Linked DNA regions of Drosophila melanogaster. The protein of the gene in region 1 interacts with the protein of each later gene in a pairwise test. Each region holds a gene or a part of one and is shown on either strand. Other genes may lie near its edges. The genes, in order: CG4116, SmD1 and CG1486.

What was found.
Region 2: the proteins of CG4116 (region 1) and SmD1 interact in a two-hybrid assay, tested with the Drosophila melanogaster proteins (one large-scale study listed by BioGRID).
Region 3: the proteins of CG4116 (region 1) and CG1486 interact in a two-hybrid assay, tested with the Drosophila melanogaster proteins (one large-scale study listed by BioGRID).

Annotation. Positions count from the first base shown.
Region 1 is NC_004354.4:3,063,983-3,070,197, forward strand, and holds CG4116 (uncharacterized protein), read right to left. Parts: upstream 3,581-6,215; coding exon 2,786-3,580; 3' UTR 2,633-2,785; downstream 1-2,632.
Region 2 is NT_037436.4:12,731,689-12,738,323, forward strand, and holds SmD1 (small ribonucleoprotein particle protein SmD1), read right to left. Parts: upstream 2,924-6,635; 5' UTR 2,829-2,923; coding exon 2,815-2,828; intron 2,296-2,814; coding exon 1,935-2,295; 3' UTR 1,676-1,934; downstream 1-1,675. Other genes in the region: Ptp69D (protein tyrosine phosphatase 69D), read left to right, coding at 3,465-3,561, 4,370-4,472, 4,565-6,408, 6,468-6,635. UniProt on the Drosophila melanogaster protein: Plays a role in pre-mRNA splicing as a core component of the spliceosomal U1, U2, U4 and U5 small nuclear ribonucleoproteins (snRNPs), the building blocks of the spliceosome.
Region 3 is NC_004354.4:21,321,045-21,330,674, reverse strand, and holds CG1486 (uncharacterized protein), read right to left. Parts: upstream 6,630-9,630; 5' UTR 6,528-6,629; exon of another isoform or gene 6,441-6,527; 5' UTR 6,215-6,440; coding exon 6,104-6,214; intron 5,966-6,103; coding exon 4,853-5,965; intron 4,787-4,852; coding exon 4,505-4,786; intron 4,448-4,504; coding exon 3,932-4,447; intron 3,873-3,931; coding exon 3,679-3,872; intron 3,615-3,678; coding exon 3,272-3,614; 3' UTR 2,525-3,271; downstream 1-2,524. Other genes in the region: Dd (dullard), read left to right, coding at 7,446-7,544, 8,513-8,770, 8,856-9,038, 9,162-9,353.

The DNA.
Region 1 (6,215 bases):
TCGATTTCAAAAGCCGGGGGAAGGGGGCCAGCCAACTAAGCCACAATTGTTGTTGCTGCCATGTCAATTGACCATTGCTTTGAGGGATTCAAAAAAAAAAAAAAAGCCACAAAGAATTCGAGAAATATCGACAGACAACGGTGAAGAATGGACAAAAAGGAGAGGAGCCGCAGAATTTCATCGGTTTCTACATCTTGCCTGCATTGCCACTTGGACAAAAAATAAAGTGTTAAGACCAACACAGTCAGCCACAAGTGATGGCAGCGTGACCCATTGTACATGTACAAATATATTAAATATAAATAAAATATCTTAAGAAAAAAAAGGGAAAAAATTATACATTTCTGACTTTGCCATGCTATTCACTAGAAATTTGCCACACAAAGTGTCATGATTATCGCTGGCAATCCCGGTGCTTTCTGGCACGTGACTCACGCACCCATTCTTTGACTCCCACATTCCCCGGATCCCTGGATCCTTGGATCCTTGGATCCTGGGCAGGATGCCCCACAATTATGCCCTTTCCTGACCACAGACGTGGACACTCTGCATGCCAAACTTTTCCACTTTGCAACTATTTCAAAAGTGAAGCGAAACTTGTGGCCCACTTAGTCGTCCGTCCATGTCCATACACACACACACAAACACACACACACACGGCTAAATGTATTTATGTATATATTTTCGGATATCCCGCCCGATGTCCGTGTGTCAACGCCGCAGTTTGGGTCTCCGACGTCGATTTCCAATGCGGTTCGTGTCTTTGCCTGCTGCATGATTTATGATTTCTGCCTCGAAAAGTATTTGTGGCATTCCATTTTCCCCCGCATTTGTGGCCCTTTCCTTGAGGTCCAAAATCCGCATCCCGTATCCCTTATCCGTATCCCCGAGTCCAAATCAGAAGCCAACTCAGTGGCAGACTCACTGCCAGAAGCGTTCAAAGTTGTCTACTCAAATCATTTTAATTGAAAATTACACATGAGCGGAGCCGAGGAGAAGTAAACTTTTAATCACAAGTAGGCGACTTTCGGAATGCCCTCTAACTTCTTCTTCGGCTCCATAGTATGTATATATTCTTTTATATTAATATAGTATATAGTATATAATATAAAATTAGCTAATTTTAAAGCCCAAGCTTTTCAGTTTCGTCTTTGTAGGGCAGCGAAATGTGCTAGACCAAAGGGAACCGGTGAGTGCTTCCAAGGGCAGTGGATGGTGATTTTGACTTTTAGCACAGCACATGTCCTTGGGCTGAGAACCTGTGTACCAACCACCGAACCATCACTCCCCCCCCCCCTCCACCAATTAAACCGTAAGACCCCACCCCTGGCTCCCCCCTGCCCACTACAGATTTTCCCCCAAAAGGTTTCGCGGGCTTGCCCAGGACCTTGGCTCTCGGTTTTTGGCCTGGCACATGGCACGTTTTGTCCGTACCGGAAATGTCCATTCACTTGCATATTAACAAAGTTCCGCACACTCACACACCAGTTGCTATTTGGTCTATGCAAATGCACTGCGAGAAATGGAGAAATGGAAATGGACTTGCGTTTTGGGGTATGTTTTGCATATAGATTATAATTCTGTTAAAACAGCACAACAAATAACCATTGCATACCAATTTCACTACATCAAATCTCAGTCGTCTGCACGTTTCAGTGTATGCTTGCTTGGCAGCAGTACTTAATAAACTCCCCAGGAAGAGACGCAAAAGAGAAGGCCAACCAAGTTGGTCGTACATCATAGGGTCCTTTTCCATATCCTCACCATGGGGGAGAGGCTATGCCAGGGTTTGTGGGGGCGGCGGCGGCGGCGGTGGAAAGGAAACAGGAAAGTATTTTGAAGGCACCGGAAACCGGAAGCAAGCAATAATTCAAATGAATTTCAAATCAAATCATTGCAAAACATTTACAAAGTATGTGCGCCAAAGCGCTGCACAAAACCGCACAAGAGCCAAATGCCAGCAAGTTCAACTTTGACTTTTGCCAGCAGCTGCAGGTGGGCGCCCACGCCTCCTCCATTCGGCCTCTTGCCTTCCACGCCCCTTTCCACAATTTTTCACCACCCATGCCACTATGGCCTTGCAGTGATTAATTTCTATTATTATGACACTGATTAGGTCCACTTACAGGCTCATTACAGTCATGAGCACATAATACACAGCCCGGACACGTGACGGTGATTTAGAGGTTCGCGAAATGGAACAGCGGCGCCGCACGAGGGGTCGTCCTGCTGACCAGGACGAGGAGCAACGGGCGCCACTCCCCGGGCGCCATCCTGCAGACATTTATCAAGACATTGACCGCCGCATGCAGAGCCGACCGGAGACCGTTTGTCTTGCACTTGACCAGGGGCTCACCAAGGGGGTTCTAAACGGGCCAGCGCACCTCGCAGACACACCGACTGGCGGCCCTTTGAACATGAACACCAGTTGGCCCATAAATTAGTGCAACTACGCCAAATCCACTGGCCTACACAAATTTGAGGCTTTGCAATCGCAAATTTGGTCGATTGGAAAACATACACAAGGTGAGAGCAATGATGTCCATGAAATATGCATGTTATACCAAAGCTAAAATTTAATTATCCATTTCACGCCTTTGCCATAATGACCTCGAATAAAACCACCTTGGTTGCAGAGTGTAATTGCTTTCAATCATTTAAATAAATAAATAAGGTTGCCTTCTCGCATACTAATAGTAATCATTAAAAAAAAAAAAATTCCTTGGCTGGGGGGCAAAAAAAAAGTAATTTTTCGCTTAACTAAGAAAGGCGGTGGATCCTCTTCTCAACCGCGATTTGGTCGCACCACCATCACCTGGGCCTTATTCTTGCCCCGCTTGTTGCCACGCCGGCGACGTCGCTGATTGTTGTTGTTAATGCTGCCACGCCTCTTGTTGACCCGGCGCCTACGGGCGGGAACGCGCCTCCTATTGTTCTGGCCACCGGGACGCACTCGACTGGACACCGCCTGGCCAACGATCTGCGGCAAGAGACCGGCAACTGGCGAGGATCCATAGATGACCTGATTAATGGCCGCATTGGTGGCCGACGAGGAGGAAGACGATGATGATGAGGATCCCGAACTGCCCAGGTTCACATAGATAGCTCCATTGGAAGTCGTGGTGACCAGGCCAGTTCCGGTTCCCGAAGTCGTTCCTGTTGTTCCCGTCGATGTGCCCGTAACAGCTCCCGTTCCCGTTGATGTGGTGCCCGAAGTGGGACGCAGTTGCTCCAGCATATCCTGCTTATTGGTTATGTACTGATTCAGGGCCGAGTTGATACCGGTGTTTGAAGAGCTGGTGCTGCTGCTGCCACTGTTCAAGCCCGATGCCAGGAATCTCAGCTGGCCATTTTCGTTGCCATCCTTCACATAGATGCCGGCCAAACGGGTATTTTGTTCCTTGGCCAGCGGATCCTTTTCGACCTTCTGGGCCATTGCTGGGCAACAACTGCCCAGCAGACAGAGCACTAGAATTGCGTAGATCATTTCTGGACGATGGACCATCGAACTGTGTGTGCCATTGGGCAGATCTTTGGCACTTTTATAGCCCAACATGAGTTGACGGAAATCGACTTTCATCGGTCATGGATGCCATGATGCCCGGAATTTTGCTTGCCAATATATATAGGTTATAGGTTTTAGAAAGCCTTTCTTCATTCTTCTCGCACCATTTTTGCTGGCCCCGAGGCCAAATAGTTGGACTTTTCAAGTGGCAAGAGCGTGTCAAGAAGTGCCCCTACTTGTAGGCCATTGTTTGCTTTGCCGCGGATCGTGAACCTCAAGTGGTCGCAGCCGAAACCGAAAAGCAAAACCAAAGCCAAAAACCAAAACCAAAAACCAAGGAGCCACACTTTAATTAAAATTTAAAATCAGCAACAGAAACACGTCTGCTTGCAGCTTCAGTTGGGGGTTTTTTCGGGCACAGTGGGTAATAATATAAATGGGAATTTGAAATCCAAATCGTATATTGGTTTTTGTACCTTTTAAGGGTTCTATTAGCAACGGAATACTGCTCTATAGCCGAGCAAATACTCTGCACGATACAAAGTTGAACCCATAAACCGCTGTTGCCCCTTTATGCACCCACTTAACGCTTTCTCTCTCTCTCTGAGAATTGCATATTTTCATTCACTCCTTTTTTTTTTTTTTTTTGGATCAACCGCTGTGAGATTGTGCATTCGGAATGGTTTCCATCACTTTGGCGCCAGTGTGCCGCAGATGGCGCCCCCTATTGGGGCGCATTTAACCCCCGGAATCCCCCTTTTTGCCAGCCTCATTTCATTTGCCGTTGATGCGATGCTGCCTTGCTGGTGGTGCCTTGCTTCTCAATTTTTCGCCTAAGTTGGCCAACCGACAGTTTTGGGGCTGAATGCCTGGCGGGGGCTGTTGAAATAAATTTCACTTACGCCAACGCTCACACACACGCACCAAAACTACACTGGCCAAAAACACAAAGGATTGCTCTTAAACTAAGAAAAAACAAAGAAAGGGGCAGCCATGTTAAGCATATATTTTTGTAATTGTAGCGATATATGATGATAGTATGTCCCAAATTCCGCTTTTAAGAACCACCAATTGTTTTCTGCCAGTGCAGCGCACACATGGAGCGCCACACGAACGTAGAGACACATACGAATGTCGCTCACTGTTCGCGGTTCGTCCTTTACTTGGCAATGCAATTACAGGCGCTAACCGCGCGTGAAAACAGCAACAGTGGCAATAACAACAACGGCTAAGGGAGAAACTATCCATCCACACCGAAGGGAAGCATATGCTCCTAAAATCATCTTTAAACCGGACTATCCACACGAATTATAATGCGCAGGCTAAACTAGTTTCAAAGCTAATATTAGTAGATAGTATTATAGTGATGTGCATTCAAATAGAACTGGTAATATCATATATATACTAACGTATAGAAAATAAATATATTGAATATGATCATACTTAATAATTTGTTTGTCAACTTAAAAGCTGTCAATTTGCTCAACGATTTGCAGTGACATTCGGCAAGGCAAGAGTATGTCCGATAGTCTTTCCTGCTCCTTGGCCTTCCTCTTGATTCACTTTATCCGGCACCACCTCTCGATTTTCCCCACCCCACACGCAAGGTGAGGCTTCCATTTCCCATTTTCCTGCCACTGAGCGGCTTAAAGCGACGCAATGACAATTAACAACAGGCGACGACAAAACGACAACGAAAGAAGGTGAGGCTAAAAATGGGATGGAGGTTGGGAGGTACTCAGAGGTACTTTTGGGTGGTTGGGGAAAATGCCATATCAATGACAGCACCAGAAGCCCGAGAAGAAAAATAAAGCGACAACTTCACGCCAGGACTCCTCGCAGGAGATTCCACCCACTTGCCAAACCACCACCCACAACCCACCACACAACATCCGACATCCAACAGCCAACACCCACCTGCCCCACACACTTACGCATATTAACAGGCTTGAATTTTTCAGTTTTTCGCAGACTTTTCCAGCAACACACCAACACACCAATAGCCCACCCCTTCCATTTTCATTTGCACGTGCAATTGAAGTGCAAAATGCGTTTGGCAATAGAATTGCCAGCTAAAGTTTTCCCCAAACCAACTCCAATTCCCGCTTTTACCCAGATTTCATTCTCTACCACAATACAAAACTCAGTTCCGTTCTTTCGTCTACTCAATTTTTATTTTTGCTCCACTTCGGTTTGGTTTTTGAAGGGAAATTTTTGTAAGTGAAATTTCAATGACATTTTAATGGAAATTGCAAATGAATGATGAAGTACGTTGGGGAGGGGGGAGGGGGGGGTGGATAGTGGAGGTAGGTGTACTTAGTGGCTTGGAAAACTGCACAGACCATCGGGGGGAATTACAGACTTGCATAATTGATGCCAAACTTAGGGATATCTTGGCACTTAGCAAGCGTAAAGCAGTGCCAAAAATAAAAAAAAAATAAGTGAAATAGCACAGAGAAACTCAAATGTATAGCAGTGAAACCTTTAAAAAAAAGAGGCTAAAAAACACTAGTTAAAATAGGGCTTATACATGGATATCAGGGGCCTAACTCTTGAATGGAATTTTAAAAAATGCATTCATTCAGAACGCGTTTTAATGAAATTTCCCGGCGACGCCATTCCATGTCATCCCGCTCCCGCCTTTAAAAGAAAACTTCACACAAAGGGATAAACTGGGCAGACATGCGAACAGAGTCCCTTCGATTGGGGA
Region 2 (6,635 bases), on another chromosome or scaffold:
ACATAAATTCTTTTTATTTAAATACGACCCATTAATAATTCTGGTTCTGATATTATTATTTTGTTAATATTCGTCTTGCCAGAAATACAAATTTATATATTTTGTATACATTATTTGTTTTTAAGGTCTAATTGCAAAGAAGATTATTAATTATACCATGTTTGATTTTGAATTTTATTCCTTGATAATCCGTTGAATTCCGAATGTTGACAGGATTTCTAAAAAAGCGTTATTAAGCAAATTAAAAATTATTATGTCCAAGTACCTTTGCTTCTTTTTATTTTTACAAACCCTTTTTCATTAAGCATTAGCAATACATAAACATAACAAAACATAAGTAAAATACATAAAATGTATTTAAACGTAATTTAAATGTATTTAATCGCCCGAAGATACTTTCAAATAATTTCCCCTTATTTTTTTAACCCTTATTTGTGCAGGGTGTAAACTTACAGCCGAGTACTTTCAACCCTTTTTCGAGGGTGACTGAATATCTGCTAATGGATTTAATTAGATTATCGTGATTTCATGACTTACTACATCCATCATACAAACTCGATATCCTTTCATCACAAACATTTTGCATTTCTGCTTGAATGCAAATCGAATGTAGCTGTATTATTGTTGAATAAATGGTAACAAATAGAGAAATCAAAATGGTAAAACCGAAGCACTAAGCTCAAAAGGAATGGCTAAAGTTAATATATTGATATCAAATAAACGGTTGCAGAAAAAGATACAGAAAAGGTAATTGAGTCAGATTGAATGCAAACAAAGCAATTATATAGGCACTAAGGTAACCGAAAATATAACATTGTGGAAAAAAATTTTAATTTTTAAATATTTACCTGTGTCATAGTTGTATGTTATCCCTCAAATGATGTTCATCAAAAGCATAAATTACGATAAGTTACGACTTTTAACAATCCTAACACTGCAGAGATCCAATAACCGTCAAGTGTATATATATATGTATATATATGGTGCACGATTATTAAACAAACAAACTTAGTATGCAAAGCAAAGCAACAACAGCTGCAGCCAAAATCACATTCTCAATTAAACCATAAACGAACAAATATATACAAATTCCCGGCTCTGACCAGACTTCAAAGGAAAGCAATAGAGCTGTGAAGCTTGAGCAATTGTGAACTTGAGTTAAAAATATAAAATAAAAAATTGTGTTATCAAAAGACATTCCTAATTTAAATTTTAAGATTTAAAATTGGCGCCTTACTTTTAGCGGGTATCCGAACCCGAATAGCGATAATTGATCGGAGCAAGTTCCACAATTTGACATTTCGATATATTATCGGAACCGGTTCAACCTGCCTTTGAAAACTTAAACAAATCACTTATATTTTTTTGTCCTTAATAATGGGTTTTAAAGTGAGGGTTACTCCATTATCCCTATATCTATTGTTTCTTTTGATATGTTTTCCAATCCGTTACTTAAAGTAGAATCTCTTAAGTTAACCAGTTTTAAGGCGATGCCCATTTCATGGGTTTAACATTGTCGTTTGTTTCATTGTTCACCACGCATCCTAATGGCAGTAGTAAATATATTTGAATCTATAGCCTAGCTTAAGTAACACAGTTTTCTCCTACTATTGTTGAACATTTGAAAGACATTTTGTGCGTCCAAAAACAATTAAAAGTATAAAAAAGCGTTTTTACAAACTTTCAAACATTTTTAATCATAATTTAATGGCGGGAGTCTTCTTTCAATTTGTTGCCAAGTAAACACATTTTTCCTGAGCTACTACACAGAGTGATTTTTAACAATATACATATTCAGATGGAGTTTCTTTACTAGCTGAAGACATTTGTCAGTTGTTCGTACATAGTAAATGCATACAGTGTGGATTTATCCAAAGAATATTTATATTCTATATTTATCGAATATTGTTTATTAGATGTAGCTGTTACAAAGATTAACGTCGGCCTGAAGCTCGGCCCCTTCCGCGACCCCGTGGACCACCTCGTCCGCGGGCGCCTCTGCCCCTGCCGCGATTTCCCACGCGGCCGCTGTCCTTCTTTTTTGTCTTCGACTTCGGGGTGTCGTCGATGAGGAGCGTCTCCAGCGGCAGGCTGTCCGGCAGTATAAAGTATCTGATGTTGTTGCCGCGAATGCTCAGCGTCTCCAGGTGGACGGGATCCCGGTTCTTGATCGTCATCCGAACGCTCTTCAGGTGAGTGTTCATGGCCACATCCACGCCGGTAATGGTGCCGTGGATCTGGGTGCCGTTCTTCAGTTCGATGGTCACGGTCTCGTGACTTAGCTTCATAAGGAATCTGTAATGCATCAACGGGAAGATTAGTAAACGAAATTAAGGAAATCCCTGTTGCAAAGATGCAGCATTTCAGAGATGCAAGGCTATTATAGGTAGAAACAAATATCTTATTGGGTGATTGAAAAATGAGATACAATAAGGTGTATGCAAGCAGCCTTTATGATGAAATATACTTAGTAGAGCCTTTACTTTTAGCAAATTAGTACGAATTTAAAGGTAGCTTGTATTTGGTGGCCTTGGATTAAGAGCGTTGATTGCATTGAATATAGTTATGCAAAATGCTACTTAAAGTGCAAGAATTGTTACCAGATACAAGTAAATAATGGAAAACTATTATAATAACAGATCAAAACAACATTCGTATTAAATTAAATTTTGTGTACAAAAACAACAAATGGGAGCATCGCTTTTGCATGCATACATGTGTGCAGAATCGCAGAACTCAAAAACTGAATGAAACTATACTGCACGCATTGCTAACAAGTTTAGTTTTAGTTTAGGTAAATGACGCATAACATACCTTACTAATTTCATGTTTTTATGTGTTTTTGGTGGTTTTCTGCAAAAAAAAACGCGCACAAACAATGCCGGCTAGTTTACTTGGAATTTGGTGGTTGCGGTGAACTGTTGTATCGTGTGCTAAGATAGCAACGCTCATTGGTATTGTAAAATATATCGGCTACCAAACGGAATCGTAATAAAAGTGAATATGAAGTAATAAATGAATTAATGCATTCCAGAAATAAATTATAAATTTGCAACAATTAAGTAACAATTAATGTCATACTGCTCTATAAATAAATACTTGTGTCTTATTAATTACTCATGTTAATAAATACGATTACGATTATATTATTATAATATACGATTATATTCCAATTCAGTTGTTCCAAATCCCTTGGTAACCGCAGCCAAGGGTACATATTCGACTGACTTATCGATAACGCCGCATATCGCGAAAAAAAAACAATCCAGTGTTAAGAAAATAACGATTAATACTTATTCGCGGTCGCCGTCTATTAACTGGTTTTTAATAAAACACATTTGTCGGTGTTTTGCACTCGCCGCGACATTAGTTCAACGCAGTAGAGCTTTTTAACTCAACGCAGACATCGAATATAATTTTTGACATATGTATTTATCCGGCTCGGAGTGAGAAATTAGCAAGCCATGGCGTTACTCTACCGACGCATGTCGATGCTATTAAATATAATTCTTGCATATATTTTCCTTTGTGCGATATGTGTGCAAGGATCTGTGAAACAAGGTAATGTTTCAAAAACTCAGACGAACATCATAATTGGTACATACATACGTACATCAAGAACCGTTTGTGGGTGTCAACAAATTGCAATGTCTCATTTTTTTTTTGTGTTGTTTTTGCAAATGTGAATGGAGTGTTTTACATTAAGTTGGAAACTGGAATTATCATTTGATATGGTGGTTAACAAGACGGTTGTATAGTTCTTAGATACAGTAGCACTCGAACTATGTCGGTAACGCCCAAAGATTACGGCGATGGGGTGAGATTTCAATTGGGGCTAAACAAAAGTAGTCGCGCATACATATGTACACACTTCCCGGTACATACATACGTTTTATGTTTCTGCGTACATACTTATGTACATCTATCTGATTTATCTGAAATATAATCACATATATATATATTTGTAATATTTCTTCAGCTAAATACGTGTTGATTCCGAAATTACGCCGGATTACTACCGCGAGTTTTATGGCCAATATTGTGGGTGTAGTTTCATTTTTATGTCTGGCTTTTACCGCCCATCCAGAAAAACCTTTCTTGGTGTCCATCATAAAACTTAAAATTTAATAGGAAAGTTAAATAAGAAATTTTCCTTCAATATAGTTCTAATTTGAATATTTTACTAAATCGCATAAAACCCGGAAGCTATAATCAGATTTAAATATACACAACCATTAATCAGGAAGATATATTTTAAGTCTAACATATTTTTAGGCTGACAGAAGCATGTTGCTACTAGATCGGTGTAATTTCTATAATTACGTCTATATACAAAACTGATAATTATTTTAATGAAATTTATTTACAGAGTGGGCAGAAATAGGTAAAAACGTATCTCTAGAGTGCGCATCTGAAAACGAAGCAGTAGCATGGAAGCTGGGCAACCAAACTATTAATAAAAACCATACAAGGTTAGTAACTTATTGCACAAGCATCTAAAAATATTTCTGCCCCCATAAAGATGGAATAACATAATAATCTGATCATTTTTCGATCTTTTCAGATATAAAATAAGAACTGAGCCATTGAAATCCAACGACGATGGCAGTGAAAACAACGATAGTCAAGACTTCATCAAGTATAAGAATGTCCTGGCGCTTCTCGATGTCAATATAAAGGACTCGGGGAACTACACATGCACAGCCCAAACGGGGCAAAACCATTCGACTGAATTCCAAGTTAGGCCATACCTTCCATCCAAAGTCCTGCAAAGTACCCCCGATAGGATTAAGAGAAAAATCAAGCAGGATGTCATGTTGTACTGTTTGATCGAGATGTACCCACAAAATGAGACAACTAATAGAAACCTCAAGTGGCTTAAGGACGGCAGCCAGTTTGAATTCCTGGACACCTTCTCGTCCATTTCGAAGCTAAACGATACGCACTTAAACTTCACCCTGGAATTCACAGAAGTTTACAAGAAAGAGAATGGCACCTACAAGTGCACCGTCTTCGATGACACCGGACTCGAAATTACCTCCAAAGAGATTACCCTTTTCGTAATGGAAGTGCCACAAGTTAGCATTGATTTCGCCAAGGCAGTTGGTGCTAATAAAATATACCTAAATTGGACCGTTAACGACGGCAACGATCCAATTCAGAAGTTCTTCATCACTCTGCAGGAGGCTGGAACACCGACTTTTACTTATCATAAGGACTTTATTAACGGCAGCCATACATCGTATATTCTGGACCATTTCAAGCCGAACACAACCTATTTTTTAAGAATCGTGGGAAAGAACTCGATTGGCAATGGCCAACCCACCCAGTATCCCCAGGGAATCACCACGCTTAGTTATGATCCCATATTTATACCAAAAGTCGAGACCACCGGCAGCACGGCGTCCACGATAACGATTGGCTGGAATCCACCGCCGCCAGATCTCATTGATTATATACAATACTACGAACTGATTGTCTCCGAATCGGGCGAGGTGCCCAAAGTGATCGAAGAGGCCATTTACCAGCAGAATTCTCGAAACTTGCCATACATGTTTGATAAGCTTAAGACCGCCACAGACTACGAATTTAGGGTAAGGGCATGTAGTGATCTAACCAAGACTTGTGGACCATGGTCCGAAAACGTGAACGGCACAACGATGGACGGCGTGGCAACAAAACCCACCAACTTGAGCATACAGTGTCATCATGACAACGTCACGAGAGGCAACTCCATCGCCATTAACTGGGACGTTCCCAAGACGCCAAACGGCAAGGTTGTGTCATATTTAATTCACTTGCTGGGCAATCCCATGAGCACAGTGGATAGAGAGATGTGGGGACCAAAGATTCGAAGAATCGATGAACCCCATCACAAGACCCTCTACGAAAGTGTTAGCCCGAACACAAACTACACGGTGACGGTGTCTGCCATAACGCGGCACAAGAAGAACGGCGAACCGGCCACCGGAAGTTGTCTAATGCCCGTCTCCACGCCGGATGCCATTGGCCGTACCATGTGGTCAAAGGTGAACCTGGACTCCAAGTACGTTCTCAAGTTGTATCTACCGAAGATCAGCGAACGCAATGGGCCCATATGCTGCTATAGATTGTATCTAGTTAGAATTAACAATGACAACAAGGAATTGCCGGACCCGGAGAAGCTAAACATCGCCACATATCAGGAGGTTCACAGCGATAACGTGACTAGAAGTAGTGCATATATAGCGGAAATGATAAGTAGCAAGTACTTTAGGCCGGAAATATTCTTGGGCGATGAAAAGAGATTTAGTGAGAACAACGATATAATCCGCGACAACGACGAAATTTGTCGGAAATGCTTGGAGGGTACTCCATTTCTGAGGAAACCCGAGATCATTCACATACCCCCACAAGGTTCACTATCAAGTAATTAATATAAACTTTATTTATTTTTTTTTATTTGAAACTAATGTGCTTTTCTTTAGATTCCGATTCTGAACTGCCCATTTTGTCGGAGAAGGACAACTTGATCAAAGGAGCAAACTTAACAGAGCATGCTCTGAAAATCTTAGAAAGTAAGTTAAGGGATAAAAGAAACGCGGTGACCAGCGATGAGAATCCAATTCTAAGCGCCGTCAACCCAAATGTGCCAC
Region 3 (9,630 bases), about 18 Mb from region 1:
GACCCAAGGACTCGTACTGCTACTGTTAAGACCCCGAACCCAAACACTGCCCATCCTCCCGCCACATCCATTCAGGGGAATCCCCGTTTATTGCTCGACTCTGTCCTGGGTCTGGGTTGTGCTGCGGACGATGCCCACGCCTGGATGGGATGCGGTGGGATCGTCCGGGACTGGCGGGCTGAATCGGTCGAGGATTCGTGCCCGCGATTTTATTGTGTATTTAACCTAAGCTTAACATGGAATGCATTTATTAAATCTAAACTTAACGAAGATACATGTAGATACTTAGTGGGCTAACTGTATATTTAGTAGCTAAACGAAAGGCATGCATAGTACTAGCGTAATCAGTAACCAACTAGACGAGACGAGAGATGAACAATTCGACTTGGCATGAAACCGATAGCAATATGAAACTAACACAAAGTACTGCCACCCCCCCCCCCCTAATTACCGAAAACAAACCGACAAACCCGAATTAAAAGCGACAAGACATGAGAAAACAAGCGAACTACAAAGTTATATAGATATATATACACGCGCGATATATACACGAATAGATATTATAAAATAGTTATATAGACAAGATACATAAGCCTATCGACAACTATATACCAGCAACACGCATCAAGAATAATCGAAGCATTTTAGATCGATTCCCGGAGGCCAACTTCAGTGTACGCCAGGTGGCCAACGGCCAACAAAAACTATGTCGCATCCGAACACTGCCCACACAGCGAAGTTCTCAACATTTACCAATCGATCGATCGATCAAGGGATCGCCCAAAACGATCGATCAATCGATCGATCAATCTAGCCATAATATACATACATACATTATATACATACATACATACACCTAACGAGCCCCAACTAGAGCGATCCCCCCATTGAAATGATCAACTGTAAGATATTAACAATCGGAGGACTCAGATCAAAGTTGGCTCAATCGCATTTTTAAAGTAAATATGTAAAGACGCTGTAAAGAGAGATCGGAACAAACTAATCAAGTTTTTTTATTCGCTTATTATACAATTACCAGTTATAAAAAAAAAACAACAAACGAAATACGCACAAATCGAACAGCAGTCGTCTTAAGGGGTCCTTCGTCACGAAACCGAGCCGAACCGAAGCGAATCGAATCGTAATCCTCTCTAAGCATCCTTTAAGGATCGCCCAATCTACATGAGCAGTACCGAATTATACTAGTCAATGGTAAAGCCCGGAGAAAACCCCTTGAGAGGCAAAGTTTGGGAGTAATGCGAGTTCCGAGCCCAGATCGGAACTCCACGTACACGTACATATAAATATAACACAATTAGTTCGTAAATATATTTCTGTGTTAAATGTTGTCATCGTACGCGTTGTAGTTATTACAAAAGAAAATCCCTAAGAATAACGCAAAAAAACATAGGTGCGCCGATCTCGAAGTACATAAAATCCGAGAAAAGGCCCAACAGGAGATTCAAAACGAAATTTGCACATTTTTTTCGAAGGCCCGGCGACAGCGGCAATAAGACGAGAGAAGATCGAGTTGTACAACATATATGTATATACATATATATATAATATATATATATATAATAATATATATATATAATATAATATATATATATATATATATAAATATATATTTAAATATATTGTATGCATAGTTAAAGAAAATGTAAAGACCAGAGGCATAAATCGAAGCGCTTAGTGGCATATTAATAAACGATTAAAACCAAAATGAACCACGCAGGCGATTCTAACGAATCGTACGAACAGTTTGAAAACTCTTGTAAGAAGTACGAAATACAACAATTAACTAATAAGTGTGTTCCAGAAACCACTTTTGCCCCGTCAGCTTCTCGGAATTGTTCCAATGAGCGGGAGACACCAAATTTCTGGAATGAAAACATATTTTATGCGCAAATCGAAATGAGTCGCGGGTAACGAAAGGCGCGAAGTCGGGAGGAATTTCATTCAAAAGCAAGCAGCGGCAAAGTAAAGCGCTAAAAAACATCCAACAAAAAATATTAAATAAAATAAAAATATAAAATTTAATTGCATTAGTTAGATGGAGAACTGTTGTTTTTTAATGGGGGCCAATAAAGTGACGAATGATGAAGGTGAATATGGTCATAAAAACTATCAGTACTTGTGTAAGTATGTAACCACACAAAATTAACTTTTCATACCATAAACTATATAAGAGAGGTTATGTGTCTAAAAAAAGTATCCTATTTGCATAAAATCATAAGCTCAACCATCATCTTTCCTTTAGTAATTTAACAACAATTGTAAATTTTTCGATCAAACGATTAAGATTTGTAAAAAAAGGTTGAGAAAATCGGATAAAAAGTTTGGAAACTATCGAGTTAAGTTTGGTGTATGAAAAAAAAAAACTTATCACATTGCCACGTTTCTAAACGAAAACATAACAATTAAAAAAATAACATTTTTAATCGGTTTAGGGAAATACAAACCAAAAGGGGAAGATATTACCATTTAGAGGCGAAAGGTCAACAAGAAACACATGCTTTCTCTTTCTAAATGATTTCACATTTTATTTTGTATAGTTTCCTTTTATCATATTTTGTGCAGATATTTTCTTATAGCAGCAATTTTTGTATAATAAATATATTTTTGTCATTTAATTATTTTCTTTCTCCGCGTTTTCTTTAATTTCTTTAGTTTACTGTCACTTAGCTTAACGAATAAGAATAGCGCAATTTATTGCTTCGCACAATTGAACATTGAAGAATTGCCTATATATATATAAATGTATATATATTATGTCTCTCAAAGGTACTTGCATCTGAATAATTATAAAAACAAAAAAATAAAAGCGTAAAGAGGACGAAGTTACGCACATTTCCCTCTGATCATAATCAACAATAATGGTGGGAGTAAAGTATAAGGTAAAATAATATAATATATAATGGAGATATATAAAAGATCATAGAAATAGCCATATACATATAAATACATAAAAGCAATTCAATTGGATCATATCATCATCATCTTTTCATCTTTTCGGGCGAACAATCATCCTCTTTGGAATTCTTTTCGTTTAAGTAGGGAAAGTGGAAATGAAGCCGTCCATATATATGGTAATCTGTCCAGTTTTTGTCTACGCGTTTCTGTTCAGTTCAAGCCTTGTTTGATATTGCTGCGTTTTAAGGCCTCTCCCACTGTGGAATCCATATTGCTGGCTCTGCCTTGATCTAAGTGTTTTCCTCTGCCGTTCAGTTATAGTTAATTTTGAAATATACTCGTACTTGTGTTATTGTTAGTTATTGTTAATTGCACTGCTGGCGGCCACTAACTCCGGAACGGTGGACGAGGCGGCACTGCTCTGACTGACGGTGCGGGCATGATCCACATGGTTTTGGGTCGGCGCCGCAGACGGAGCCGCTCCCGAGGCTGCTGGCATCGATCCCGAAGCTTCTCCCGACTGCACTGGCGTGCCCTCGCTCGCTCCGGATCCGTTTCCATTTCCGGGTACGGGCTCCACCGTGGGAAAGACGGGCGGCAAGGCAGGCGCGACCACGGGCGTCTGCACCATGGGTGTGGGAGGCGAACGATTCGCTGGCAACTGATGAGCAGTGGCTCCGGTCATCTGCATGTGGTACCTTTGGAGTGTAGATTGATGAACATTAAACAAGGACACAATATCAAACGATCTTTGGAACCCACTTGTAAATGTTCTCGGTGCTTTCGACAACACCTTGGGTAAGATTGAGGCTCCGCCCCTTGATGCCCGACTCCTTGGCCGGTGGGGACCACCAGTTGAAGACGCGTCCCACCACAGGCACGTGGCGCAGGATGCCCTCCTGCCAGAGCTTCTCCTCCGATTCGCGCTGCAGATCAGCGGTAACCGCCTCAATGCCCTGAGCGTACAAATAAATTAACACATGTTACATTAATCCAGTACGAGGTGGTAGCCAACCTTTTTAACAATCTCCGACATGGTGTCCAATACCCGCGAGTTTTCCTGGACGCTCTTGCCCACCGTGACCACCAAGTCTAACAACTCTTCGACCTCCGTTTCATGGGTCACCATTCCGAATCGCACACAAATCAGACCATCGGTGCCTTCGCCTAATGAAAAGGCATTGTCCGTGGATTTCAGGGCCTCCACCAGGTCGATGTTCAGCTTGTTTAGCTCTGTTTTGGCCTGGTCCGTCAGCAGGGACTCCCAGCCCTCGGGCACGAAGCGAACACCGCCCATGCCCGCCCATTCGGGCAGTGGAACGAGGCGCAGCACGTCGCTGCACTCCACCAGATGAATGAACCGTGCCTTGTGCTTGATGGTCGCGCGCAGGATGTCCACATGTGCCTCTAAGCTCTGAGCGAAGCTCTCCAGGTTCTCGGAGCTTGGCGGCTGCTCACCCAACCCCAATTCCAGCGGACAGTAGCGAATGCAGCTGCCGTGCGTCGGGTGTTCAATTACCTCAAAGTCAAACTGGAAGAACATGGTGATTAGGCTCATACAAGGAGATGATTAATTCACACTGCATACATTGGGACAGTCGCGTTGCAAGATTTGACCCAGCCAGGAGTTGAGCCGGTCGAAGTAGGAAGCATTGTTAATCTTCTCTAGCGGCTTGAGGCCTTCGGCCGTTTCCCGCTCAGCAGCGGCAGCGGCGGCGGAAGAGCCACTCCCGCCCAGTGGAATGGTGGTGCTGCCGTCGAACTGATAGGCGACCACGGGGGCGGCGGCATCAAAAAGCGCCTGCACATCAAAGGGGCTCTGAATGACGTCCGACAAAGAGGCTCCGGTCTGCGCTCCTGGAGTATGGCTCTGAAAATGCCAAGGTCCTTTGGTAAACTAAAAACATTATCCATAAACGTGTGTGCAATAATTTACCAACACCCGGATGCCCTCACACTTGGAGGCAATCTCGAAGAGAATACTGCACGTCTGGAAGGCCACATGCAGACGCTCCGCAATCGCCTTCCGGCCCAGCGCCTGCAAACTGGTCCACAAGGACAGGGCATTAAGACGACGCGACAGTATGGGATCGGATTCGAAGGCACTCAGAGCGCTGTTCTGCAGCGGACGGTGCAGCAGGACGATGGGCAGACTGGGCACACCCAGCCAGCTGCCCAAATTCAGGGCCATCGAGTGGAGTACCTCCTCCACATGGCCCTGATTTTGGGCGCACACCAAGGCGGCCAGTCCGTGGCCACTGGCGTGCAGCCACATGTTGTGCGCCTTGCATACGTCCCTCAGCCGGAGCAGGTTGTCCACATAGCCACACAACGAGGCTCCAATGTCGGCGACCACCAGCAGCGGAGTCCTGTTATTGCCCACATCCTGCTGAATTTGCTTTTGCAGCAGCGTCACATCCATTGTCCCGGACTGACTGTGCTCCGGAATGACCTTAATAGCCTCCAGCGGTATGCCCAACTGGCGGCATGCGTAGTGCAGCCTCATCGGCGTCGTATTCTCCGAGATGTAAAACGTAGGCTGCGCCAGGGCGGGTATGCCACCCTCCAAGTACCCCGGACACCTGGCGACGATGGCCAGTCGCACCGTACGCAGCACCGCGTCTGCATTGTCCGCATGGAAGCTGCTCGCCGGGTGGGCAAAGTGAAACAGCGTGCCCAACCAGCGGGTGGCGTCCCCGGAAATGCTGTTCGTCACCCGGAGCAGTTGCTGACGGTCCAGATGCGACAAATAGGCCACAATGCTGTGCGATATGAGAGCCAAGTGGGAGACGTCATCCAGGGCGGGCAGCGGGAACTCCGGATCATCGTCGCTGTCCGTGTAAGAAACCAATTGCTCCAGCGACTTAAGAATGTCGGAGGGCACGCGATGCTTCGCTGGCAGGAGGTCCTCGCTGGTCACCCGCTCCCCAGCCTCTTCCTCGTTCTCGACGGGATTTGGGCTCTCCGGCGTGGTCGACACCTTAACGTTCTCTAAGCGCTGCAGCACCTGCGAAGATCGCAGCTCCAGCTCCGCCAGGCCCGATCGAATCTATGTGGCGAATACATGGCTAATTAGGTGGGATAGTGGACAAGGTAAACAACAGCGCTCCAGAAGTTGACGTGTCTTCCGTCGTCGTCAGCAAAAAAAAAAAAGATAGAAGCAGGGCGAAAAAAACCAAACACTCACACTGGAAGCGGCGATTTCGGCCACCGCTGGCGTTGATTGGCCCGGATCCGGCTCTTGGTCTACGAGTGGGCTCTGGCCGGGATCGTCCACCGATCTACCAGCCGCTGACATGGTTTCAGTGCGGTCTAAATCACTTTTAACTTATCGCCTGCGATGCAAAATAATTGTTTTCGTTTCGTGCCACTGCGTCTGTGTGGGTGGGTGTGTGTGCGTGTGTGTGTGGGGCGGGCGAGTGTGTGTGTGTGTTGATGGAAGAGAGGCTGATGTGGAATGGTGTGACCGTAGTGGGTGCGTCTGACTAAGATCGCAAATAGTGTGCGATTGTTGGCCCATGGTTCTGGTGATGGAATAGGTCGCAAGGAAGTTGGAAAACTATTATAATATCCGCCACTAAAAGACGTTGGACAGCAGCACACAAACGTACATACATAGCACCTACTCGTAACCTTAAACGACGAGTTTTCACAGTGGTTTGTGTCACGGTTTGTGTCTCAGCGATTTTGAAGACAGCACCGCACGGTCATACTACACAGCCATCGATAGTTGCGGAAAACTCATCGATGCTGCGAAAGTGCGATAGTATCGAATAAACATGAGTGTGTGCATGAGTGTGGGAATTTATTAAACAAAAACGAAACGCGGACAAACTATATTTATGTAATAAACACTAAGCCGCAGCGCCAACGAGTAATGAACAGTCCACGGCCAGGTCGTACTATTCAGGCGAACGCACCTCGCAATCGACTGCAATCAAAGTGCAATAGCTCAATCAATTGATTCGTTTTGCTCAACCAAAAACAAAATCTATTCCCAAATCGGTGCGATAGTTGCCAAAATATAAAAACTACACTACGCTAAAAAAAAAACAATACACTCACACACTGGCGTACAAGACAACAAAAGAGAAGAAGAAGAGCAGACGCCAGATATAAAAAGCCCCCAAAAGAATTGGAAATAAGACCATACCCCTCCTTCTCCCTTGAAAAGGGACCTTAAAACTAGGCGACACCGAATAATTGAACTCAAGTAAAAAACCGGGAAAAGAGAAAAACACTTTCAACAAAATATCTAGAAGCCTTGTTATCGATTTTGTTCCGGGTTTTTTTTGTGTGAGTGTGTGTTGTGTGAAGCGCGCCCGCGGGTGTGTGGGTGAGTGTGCGTGTGGCTCTCGGCGCGTTATCAAAAACAACAACAATTCGTTGCAAAAGAAAAAATAAAGTAGAGGAGGCGGAAGAAGAAGAGGAATCTGCTCGCACCGCGGTCAATCGCGGATCGTGGTCGATTTATCGAATTAATCGCCCCGAACAAAAAAAACACCGTACAAGGACTTGCACTATTTCCAATGATTTCGCTGCTGCAAATGAAATTCCGTGCGCTTTTGTTGTTGCTATCAAAAGTATGGACATGCATTTGTTTCATGTTCAATCGCCAAGTGCGAGCTGTAAGTACTGAAATTACCCGAAAGCAGGAGTAAATCACAAAACAAAAATAGTCCTATTTTTACCCGCCCGAAACGCCGAAATTATTCCCAACCCGCTCCCGCTATCGAAACTTAAGTACTACTGCTACAGAATAATAATAATAAAAGCGGCCGCACTGATAAGATTTTCAATGATACAGGTAGTACTCGCTAGAGAGTATGGATGTGTTTGCCTCGGAAATTTATTTGAAGATTTGCATGAATAGAAACGTTGAACTTAAAATTAATTCATATATTTTAGATCTTTGTATCTGCAAATCTCTCATATCAATAATATGGTTTCATTTATATTTTCAAATTATATTTACGTTACTTCAATGTGCGATCTATTAAATTTAGAGTAACTTTCAATATATACGAATACGAGATATTTATTCCTAAATATTTGCAAAATTTTAAATTTTCGTAAAGTTACATATATTTTTGCTGGGTACCGCTTAGCCAGTGACACCTGTCTTAAAGTAAGCCTCTATCAAGATTTTCCGCCACACGTTTAATGGTTCGTGTTCCACCGAATCCCCACCCGTCCCAGAAGTGCTGTCCACGGTTCTCCCATCCGCCTTATCGACCACCCGCCTTCAATACTCTCTCAGTACTGGGCCGGCGATTTTGGCCAGATATCGTGACGCGGCAGAGGCACTGACCTTCGACCTGCTTATATACATAGATATCGATGAATCCACATCAACATTATATGCTATTGCACAGCTAATAATTGTTAATTGTTTTGTAAAAGCATAATATATCAGTAAATTGGGGTTTCCCATGCACTAGTGATAACTTGGCCATTGAGCACCTCTAACATCTCCTTGCACCGCAACCCAACCCCAACAGAGTGTAGCGACGCATAGCCACCAAGCCCATCATATGAACCCCATGTCGAATGCCTTTCAAGTACTGCTCCGTTGATTATGTATTAACTTTCTCAGTTTATCCAGTATCAACCGGTTAAATACGAACTCTTCCCGTTGTCACCCGTCTCGCGGCACCGCCTGAGCCTGGTGCAGCGCAAGACCCTCGTTCTGGACCTGGACGAAACGCTAATCCACTCCCATCACAATGCGATGCCCCGGAATACGGTGAAGCCGGGCACGCCGCACGATTTCACTGTCAAAGTGACCATCGATCGGAATCCAGTGCGCTTTTTCGTGCACAAGCGACCGCATGTGGACTACTTCCTGGACGTGGTAAGTTCCCGAATTGATTGGCCAAGCAAATAGATGCATTCCCGCATTTAAGTCAACACATTAACTTACGCCCTACTGCCCGCAGGTCTCGCAGTGGTACGATCTGGTGGTCTTCACGGCCAGCATGGAGATTTACGGAGCGGCGGTGGCAGACAAGCTGGACAACGGACGAAACATCCTCCGGAGGCGATACTACAGACAGCACTGCACGCCCGACTACGGATCCTACACCAAAGACCTGTCGGCCATCTGCAGTGACCTAAATAGGGTAAGCGGGAACAAGTGACTCCATGCGAGCCATCAGTTGCAAATCGATAAAGTAGAGGGTGCTGCATAAGATCGTACTTTATATACGAGTATTTTGTTCTAAATTGAGCATCGTTCCTTGCAGATATTTATCATCGACAATTCGCCCGGCGCCTATCGCTGTTTTCCCAACAACGCCATACCCATCAAGAGTTGGTTCTCGGACCCGATGGACACGGCGCTGCTGTCGCTGCTGCCCATGCTGGATGCGCTGAGGTTCACGAACGACGTGAGATCGGTGCTGTCGAGGAACTTGCACCTGCACCGCCTCTGGTAGCAGGTGGGCCGCCTGTCGCTAGTTTAGTTTATCTATTTAGAAGGAGCACTGAGGGCCAGCGAAGTGGGGAGAATATCTTCTGAAATTAACAACAAACAAGGTGGTGCTGTGACACATTAACGAATTTGTTCATTATTATTTAAAATTTGTACCATTCAGTCAAATGAGCGGAGATAAGATGAGACAAACAGATAAAGCAGAAAGTTGAGGATATATTGGGAGATTTGGAAGCGATGGTTTATTTCTCCTTTTGTGTATAGACTAACAGTTTTTTTTT